2 linked regions of the Drosophila melanogaster genome follow. The protein of the gene in region 1 interacts with the protein of each later gene in a pairwise test. Each region holds a gene or a part of one and is shown in the gene's direction. Other genes may lie near its edges.

Region 1 (5,011 bases):
AATCTGGATCCCCATCGATCATCGTGCCCAGCGGCGACATCTTCGCCTCTGGTTTCGTCGAAGTTTGGAGCCACAGGTGCATTTCAAGCCCATACTTCAACGATTCAAGTTGAGCTGGGCGATCCGACGCCCAGTTGTCAATCAAGCGGAGCAGCAGAACCAACTGACGAACGTGCTGAGAATTTTCCATCAATTTCTACGCGATGGGAACTTCGAACTTTCTATGTGCTTGTATCCAAAATATCCGCACACAGTGAGAAATTTTTTTTTTGGTACATATTATTAGGGTGCTTAAACAAATTTGTGAAATCTTAAAACTATGAATTGGATTTAATGAAAATGATTTGCAGTGAGTGAATTATGTATGTGAATATGTGTATTGTTTATTATATTGATAAAAATCAATTTTTCCTCTGCATGTGAAACACTTGAAAGTATCGCACAGGCAACGAGATAACCATGAGAACACTTTATATATGGGCCTTTGTCGCGTGAGTGCCACTTGTCGTGTTTTTGTTGCTACCGCTGTAGCTGCAGTTGCTGTTGCACATGTTGTTGTTATAGTTGTTGTTATTGTCTGTGCCCCCTTTTTGTTGCTGCGCTCGTTTTCTCGCTGTTCTCATTCTAAACAATGCAAATGCAGCGTCAGCGGCTCTGCCAGCAACATTAGCATAAATAAATAAATAACCGTACTGGCAACGAGCGGGTAAATAACAAAATAGCAACACGGCCAGCAGACCGACCACAGCCAGTAACATTAATCTACGCTCCAAAAGCTTTCCGATAGACGTTCCATGGGCTTTTATCCTCCTCGCATTTTACGAGTATAGCAGACACCCAAAACACTTGTTTGCCTTCGTCGCCTAGCGGCGCTTGCACTTCGAAGACTGGGCGCGGTACAAGGGATCGCCTAGAAACGCCCACACACGAACTAGTGCAAGTACAGTGGTAATATGATATGGAGAAATGCCCGATTAAAAGTGTATAAAATATTTTTTTTAATTTTAAAACAAATTTTGCACTACCATGGGCGTTAATCTTTCTTTGTTTTAATATTTCTAAATTAAATAATAAATATTAAACATTAACATTAACATATTAAATATTAACATGAAACGTCGTATACTGCCACTTGACAAGGAAGATAATTTCAAAAATATTTGATTATTCCAAATTGTACATTCCATTTAATAATCTAATTTGGATATATATGTATATTGTATATTTTGAACTGAGTCACATACCAAATTTGACCACCCATTTTAGTTGTTTTGCGACCAATGTGCCTAGGCCGCCGATTACAAAAGCAACACCTTCGCCTTCACCGTAAAATGGGCCTCCCCTGCGTGTTTCACATGTGTCGCATGTGACTACCGTGGATTTTGCAGCCGCTTCTGCCGGCAATCAAATTGAGTGCAAAGCTCGGTTAAAAGCCGAGTATTCAAGTATTCGAGTGTTCGGACAGCAGAAGAGGTGTGATGTTTGATGGGTGTGTGTGTATGTGTGCAGCGAATGCAAAAACAGTTTCGATTTTTTTTTCAATTTTTCCACCTTCTGTTTTTGTCTCGATTCGGTGGGGCCCCAACTTATTGCATTATTTATGTACGAGTAGTACGATTTTTCTGGGTTCCCCAGTAAGCCACACGCACACGGTCCGCACCAGAAAATTGTATAAACAAAACGCGGAAAGCAACAAAAAAAAAAAAACGTTAAAATAAAAAAAAAAACAGTATAAGTATCAGTAGCGGTGACAATCGCAAGTGCAGGGCTCTCTCTCTGTCTCAAGTCTTGAGTCTCAAGTCGAGGAGTCTACTGCTCACACTCACTCAAAGTTTGCCGAGGTGGAGAAACAAACTCGGCGGCATTCTCAGTCAAACAACAAACGCAACTGAAGTAACAACGGTTCCGTACCGCGTACCGCCCCCAAAACAAAAGTGAAATTCTATTAGCTACCCGCCGTCTTGGCCAATCCGCCCAGGAATATCGCAGTGCTTAGCCATTCGCGAAAGTTATGGTATTTGATTCCGTTGAAAATCGGACTGAGTGCTGTGCTTAATGTTCCAGCTGCGCCGGGAAGTGTGGAGCGAGCGGTTGGGAGTCTGGGTGCAGCGCGTCCTCGTCATCGTCCTGCATCTGTGGCACCGCTCCAGTATGTCCTTTGTCCGGCGTCGCCAGGAGGCGTTCAAGTGGATTAGGCGCCGACTGGCCAGAAGGCAGTGTCACGTGAGTACACCGAAAGAAATAGGGTAGTAGCAACGTGACCACATCATTTAGCCACTTCTAAAGCCATTAAACTGATATACTTAATCTCAGTTGCTACAGAATTTAATGGGCTTTGAAATGAGATCATTGGTGAACAAATAAATATATAGACTTGACTGGATAGAGTCAATGTGGAAATAGAATAGCTATGTATTTAGGGTATTCTCTTGAAGTAGTTGCTCAATTTATCAATTACGAAAGCCAATGAGCGAGTGTTATTCGAATTTCAATATTTTAAGGCTGCTTTAGACATTACTAAACAGCTGTTTACTACTTTTTTAATAGCCAGCTTTAACAGAATATTAACGAAGTTGCATAGCCAAAATGAAATTGACACTGATCACAGGAGTACCATTAATCTACAAGAACAACTTAATAAATAGAAGCATCTGTGTAGTCATTAATATTATTCGCAAAAAGTGACTTTTTTCATTACCTTAGTACTTAGCACTTTCTAGAGTCAATAAAGTCAGTGCTCTATTATACAGGCCGGCAAAATAAGTTTTGTATTTTATCAAGGTATGCCTAATTACTAACCCTGAACATGTTTTTGTCCCTTTTCTGACTATCCAATTAGAGTTATGTATTTATTACCCAACTTAGATCATCCTGCACTAGATCCCCAAGTGGGTCATCACTCCAGCTCACAACCTTTAGATTTTAGCTGGAATTCAATTAAAAGTTATTCAGCCAGGCTGCAAATTCAATTAACTACAATCATTTCGGGCATTCGGTGCAATTTTTAGCTAATTCTGGTTTTCCTGCGAATCGGGGCACAGCCGGCTGCTGAAGAAGGGTTAGAAAAGTTTAGCACTCGCGTGACTCGCTATAATTTCTCCATCGGAGTTGCTGGTTTGAATTGGTCTGAGCCCAAGTTGGCCACTGTCTGAGGCTTTGTTCCGTTTCCGCTTTCCGCCCGCTCTGCCTGGATGGGTGTGTCCATCGACCTGGCGGAGACATAGGCTTGGTTCTATATAATTCCATCCCCTGGCAGTCGGGAAAACTCCCCAACAACCCCCCAACTATTTTAGCCCGCCAAACAGTTGGCGTTGAGCGATTATGGCTGTCAGCTTGAAAGGCACTTTCAGCCTGTTATCAATTCAAACAAACGCCAAAATGCCACAAATGTGAAAACCGACCGACAGTCGAGGAGCCGCTAAGAGGCCTCCAAATTGTGCAAATCAAATTGAATGCCGTTTTATGAAAGTTGAGTTGACTTTGCCGGTGATTTTTGGCAATTATCTGTAGCTGGCATTTGTGCGATTTCGAAATTTTTGTGTTTGTAACAATGCGGATCTCAAACAGAGCACGTAGGGGTTAAGCTGAACGCCCATGGCATATTAAAAAGTTTTCTAATATTTAGGCTGCAAACTGATATAAACCAATAGACTGCAAAATGGGTGATTTATTTTTATGTTACTGGTCTGAAGGGAAACTGAATTTTCAAATAGCTGAAATGCGGCAATTGCATGCATAAAGTTAATTGTAAAATTCTAAAATATTATAATGCATATGATTAACGTAAATTAGAAAACTATTTGTAAAGGGCATATGATATATGATATACGTAGTCATTAAGCCCGGAATCAAATCACGAACTAGTGAATCACAAAAAGCTTAGGAATTAATTGATTTTAATTGACTGCGGAAATATTGATACTCTTACTCACAACCCAATTTGCTGTGCAACTTTATTCTAATGCCCGTTCGCATTCGCAAGTGGAATATATGGCAGACCCACCGGGAAGAGCACTTAATAGTTATATTTATGGGCCATCGGTGGAGCCCATATATTGTTTATCCCGCTGGCAAATGTTTATTCGCACCACTTGAAGTTTCAGCGACTGCTCAGATTTTTTTTTCGTGAAACCAGAGCGAAGTAAACACTCATCGCGTGTTCCGGATAACGCAATCGCATGGGGATCTCGAAGCCAGGAACCAAAGGAATCCCGAGCTCGTTAGCGTTCCAGGGTAAGCCTGCGTCTGGCATCGTAAACAAATGCCCGTCAAAAGGCATTCAGCTAAACACCGACAAAGTAGCAAACAAAATATATGTGGACAGCCAGCCCTTCATTTTGTATATACATATGTATAATATGGGAACTTGCCAAGTTCAAGGCAGGAGTTGAAGATGTCTATATATGATGCATTGTATCCACAATTATGGCAGAGGGATGGGCATGAAACACGGGCGGCGGCTATTCAGCGGGGCAAACAATAACATTGTGCATAAAACAGAACTCAGTCCCCAGTCGGAAATGCTGACTAAATGGAAGTGAAAGATACTGTACTATAAGATACTCTATGAACTGGGAAGAGAAGTATTAACTATACAAATACATAAAGATAAAAAATTTAGTTATGATAATGAAGACGTAGCAGTAATGCCAGGGATTTTACTACATAAAATAGAACATAGTCCAGTTTTTGTTTAATTTTTTAATCATTTTCCTTGCATAACCAAGCAATCTTGCAGCCCGCAATAATTGGGCATTGATCTGCATAATACTTTGGTTATTTATATGTATATTTTTTGAGTTGTCGAAAGTCCAAACAATTAGATTGAAAAGCAACGTTCTCGGAAATGTATGTAAATGTATTCCTTCGCTGATTGTATTCTAATGCAATCGGTGACCAAGCGCACGTCAAAGTGGAGATATCCCTATCCACATCCACTATAAATCACCGATAATTGTGGGTGTGCTGTGTTTATTGTTGTTGCTGCCATTGATGTTCCGCGAGCGTTTTT
Region 2 (3,979 bases), on another chromosome or scaffold:
CAAAGGCCAGGCCAGCAGCATTTGCACTCGCCGTGGCAAAGGGATTCGGAGTAAGTACGGAAGTGGAGACACCTCCACTGGCGCTGGTGGCATTGGAAAACGGAGGCGGCACAAAGCCGCTGGGCGTGGCTACAGGTACAGGTACATGGGTGTGACTCGTGGGCGAGATCTGGGCAGAGGCAGGTGCTCCGCCGACAGGGCCCACGGGCGTAATGGTCAAAGGAGAGCCCTTTGCATGGATAGCAGGTCCTTGAAATCTGGTTGCGCTGTAGACTATATCCGCGGGCTGTAGGCTGCAGTTCCCATAGGGATTGGCGTTGGGTTTCTGGAGGGGTAGTGCCACAGGGATCGGTTGAGGTATGGGAATGGAATTGGAGACTGGTGCTGTTGTTGCTGCTGGCGCCGCTGATTTCGTCCACTGCGCACCCAGCTGGCCGTGCTTCTCGGACATGTTAGGTGCTAGTGCTAGCGGCGCCTCCGTTTCCCTCCGCCTGCTGCTGCTCCCTCGTTGTTTTCTGCCTGCTGTGGTTTCTGGCCAAGATTAAGGGCGCTTCCGCTGCCAGGTTACGTAGGTGGCTGCCTGTGTGAGTGCTGGACTGCGTTCTATTGAGTGTGTGTGTGCCTTAGGAGATGGAGATTGCCGAGTCGATAACTGGCGCGACGAACATTTTGACGGCTGCGACGGACGAAGATACGGATGCCAGATATAGTTGCTTTCCCATTTTCCCGTCAGGCGGGAGTGCGCTGGGCGTGGGACGTGAAAGTGCGTGGCGTTCTTTACTGCCAACGAGCATGCGATTTTCCCAGATACGCACCGATTGAACCGAAATAATCCATTTTTTAACGAGAGATAAGAAAATATCTTGCGTTCTGCGTCTCGAAAAATATGTGGCGTTGCCAGACGGCTGCATTAAGAAATGTGCTTTTTTTGCCAGAGCTTTCGGATGTAAACACGGTGTTGTATTTGCGATTTCGCATAAATAAATGAGTAAATTACTAATAATTTGTATATAATTTGCAGATTCACCTTACGCAATGTTAGCTTGTATATGATAAACATGCAACGCTAGTCTTTTAGTGATCTTGCTGTCATCGTTATCGCCACTGGTCAAAAAAATGAGCCATAGAGAACTGGTTCCTAGCTAAATTAAATCTTTGGTGAGATGTATTGTCAGTATTGGACATAATATTTTCTATTGATAAGGCAAATTTAAGCGCATTAGGCCTTTTTTTAAATAATATTTAATGTAAGACGTTGGTATTTTTATGATTGAATTCTTTACTCTATCTAAATATACGTAAATATGAAAGAAATATATAAATATATATATAATTGTTTTCATAATATTTGAATATTTGAAGTATTAATATTTTCTTTCTCATTTTACAAGTTGTTTGTGTTTATAGGCACACTGGGGAATACTTTCAGTTATCATATCATATCGTTTAGCCATGGTTAAAGGAACAAATATTTCCAATGTATTGTCACAAGCAGCAAACATGTTTATCAGATATTTAACCAAAAATCCGCTTCCCGGAACCAGCAAAATGAACCACATCGTGTTCGCCGATGCTATGCAGCCCTGGTAAGGAAAATGGCGATGTCTTTTCGTTTCTTTTTTCAGTCGCTTTACACAACACTTTAGCAACACAAATTTTAACACTACAATACTACGCGAGCGGTTCTTTAAATTAAATTTCGAGCAGGATTCCAGAATGCGCGTCGAGCTTACCCCACAGACGTGCCGGGTCTGCCTGGCGCAGAGTGAGCGACTGCAGCGCCTAGACGAGATCCGCGAGGAAGGCGAGGAATCGCCGAACGAGATGTTGATTCAACTTTTGGGAGTCTCATACAGCAATGTAAGTGAATCGCTAGAGCTGGCAATGCGAACTGACCATTCATCCATCCATCCCTCATGCAGCTGAACGACAGAGAACACATACCCGATGGCATCTGCAAGTCCTGCAAGGTCGAACTCAACATGGCCTACCAGTTTCGCGAGAAGGCGCTGCGCAAGCAGATGGAGATTGAGGAGTACTGCCGGGAACTGGGCTTGCTGGACGAATCAGATGTGATGATGATCAAGGAGGAGGACGGCTCGCAGCAGCAATGCGACGAGGAGATGTACATCCTGGAGGAGACCACCACCGGGGAAGAGGAGCACCAGGAAGAAAAGGGGCACGAGGAGTACTTGGAAGTGGACACCAGCGATCAGCAGGAGTGCATTGGCGACACCATCGAGTACTTGGAGGACAACTACACCATCGAGATGAACTCCGATCAGACCGAGATCGTCCTGGAGTCTGAGAAGCAGTACGAAGAGACACCATCGCAGCAGTTGGCGCTGCAGGAGGCGGCCAAGGCAAGCCTGAAGGCGCGGCGCGGCCGGGTTCGTCGCGGATTAAACTCCCTAACAACATCGGACGGCACTGAGAAGGGTGGCTATATCTGCGACGTCTGCGGAAACTTTTACGAAAAGCGCGGCCGGATGATGGAGCATCGCAGACGCCATGACGGCATCTGCCAATATGCATGCGAGTAAGTCGAGTCGGTAAATTTCATATTAAAGCGATAACCCTAATCCCGCCTTCACAGACTATGCGATGCCAAGTTCCAGGTGCGCGAGCAACTGAGGAAGCACATGTACTCCCACACGGGCAGCAAACCCTATAAGTGCAGCTTCTGCAGTCGTCAATTCTTCTACGAAAGTGTTCTCAAGTCTCATGAAAAGTGAGTAGAAATGTTATTCTCACGGAGAGGCCTCAAAATGGGCCATTTAAATATATTCCTAGTTCGGGACAGAGATAACTAACTTTTCTTTTTCCGATCAGTGTTCACCGTGGCATCAAGCCCTACGTGTGCAAGGTGTGCGACAAAGCGTTTGCCTACGCTCACTCCCTGACCAAGCACGAGCTCATCCACTCGGACATCAAACTGTACCGCTGCGATTATTGCAACAAGGACTTCCGTCTGCTGCATCACATGCGCCAGCACGAGGAGACCAAACTGCACCAGAACGCCGTAATGCTGGCCGAGAGCATGAAGGTGGAAATGGTGGCCGAGCAGGGGGGCGGGAACGAGATCCGAATTCAAGCTCACTGACGCAATCAAATTCAGTAGAGTATACTGTCTTATTTCCAGATATAATCCCTTATAATCAGTAATACTAGCTTAAACGCTAACGGATAGCGTATTCATAGTTGTAAGAATGAACTTCATACGTAAATAAAGGTTATTTTTGTTAAAAATAGAATATCAAACGTATGTGATGTTTTAGCAGCATGTGGAATTTGGTTCATAAAATTAATTTATTTGATAATTTGAATACATACAATACAATACAATACAATTTGAAATGTAACACGCCCGAGAAAATCTGGCAATCTAGTTGTACGCTAGTTGGTAAAAGTCACAACTGGCCGTAGTTATTTCCACAATCAATGTTCGCAATGTGTGTGCGCGGGAAGCTATGCTGAAAATTATGCAATAAATATGGGTGGCTTCATGACGCCGTGGGTATATAAAATGAAATTGGAAAAAACCCAATTTGCACCTAGCGCATGCAAAGCACCAACAAATGTACAATATCAAAGGAAGTTCCGAAATTACATGACTTGAATGCGTTTTTTTTTTTCATTGGCCGCTTGTCTCCTTTTTTGAACTCCCCCGTGTATCATATCATCATTTTAGCGGAAACAAAAAATGTTCTTATGGACTGGTAAAGCCTTTCGGCCCCTGGGGCTTTGTATTTGATTACGGGTGGTGATACACTGCAAGCAAAGCTGGGTACAATAATTCAAAATAGGTAACCAAGGCGCTAGTCATATTATTTATTCCAAAATTTGGTTTAGAAAAGGAGTTTAAAACTTATTTTCTGTGATATTTATAATCATGACAAATTTCTAAAATTCAAAATGGTATCCAATATTTTTCCTTTTGAAGCTGCTATGATATTTTTCCTAGTGGCGAGATTGCGGA

What was found. Proteins that work in one complex are often made in the same cells at the same time.
Region 2: the proteins of Pura (region 1) and Zif interact in a two-hybrid assay, tested with the Drosophila melanogaster proteins (one large-scale study listed by BioGRID).

The regions. Positions count from the first base shown.
Region 1 is NT_037436.4:7,591,223-7,596,233, forward strand, and holds the start of Pura (Puratrophin-1-like), read left to right. Parts: upstream 1-1,868; 5' UTR 1,869-2,055; coding exon 2,056-2,223; intron 2,224-5,011.
Region 2 is NT_033777.3:6,455,571-6,459,549, forward strand, and holds Zif (Zinc-finger protein), read left to right. Parts: upstream 1-1,517; 5' UTR 1,518-1,586; exon of another isoform or gene 1,587-1,646; 5' UTR 1,647-1,716; coding exon 1,717-1,860; intron 1,861-1,922; coding exon 1,923-2,539; intron 2,540-2,596; coding exon 2,597-2,731; intron 2,732-2,832; coding exon 2,833-3,103; 3' UTR 3,104-3,252; downstream 3,253-3,979. Other genes in the region: CG9727 (uncharacterized protein), read right to left, coding at 1-451.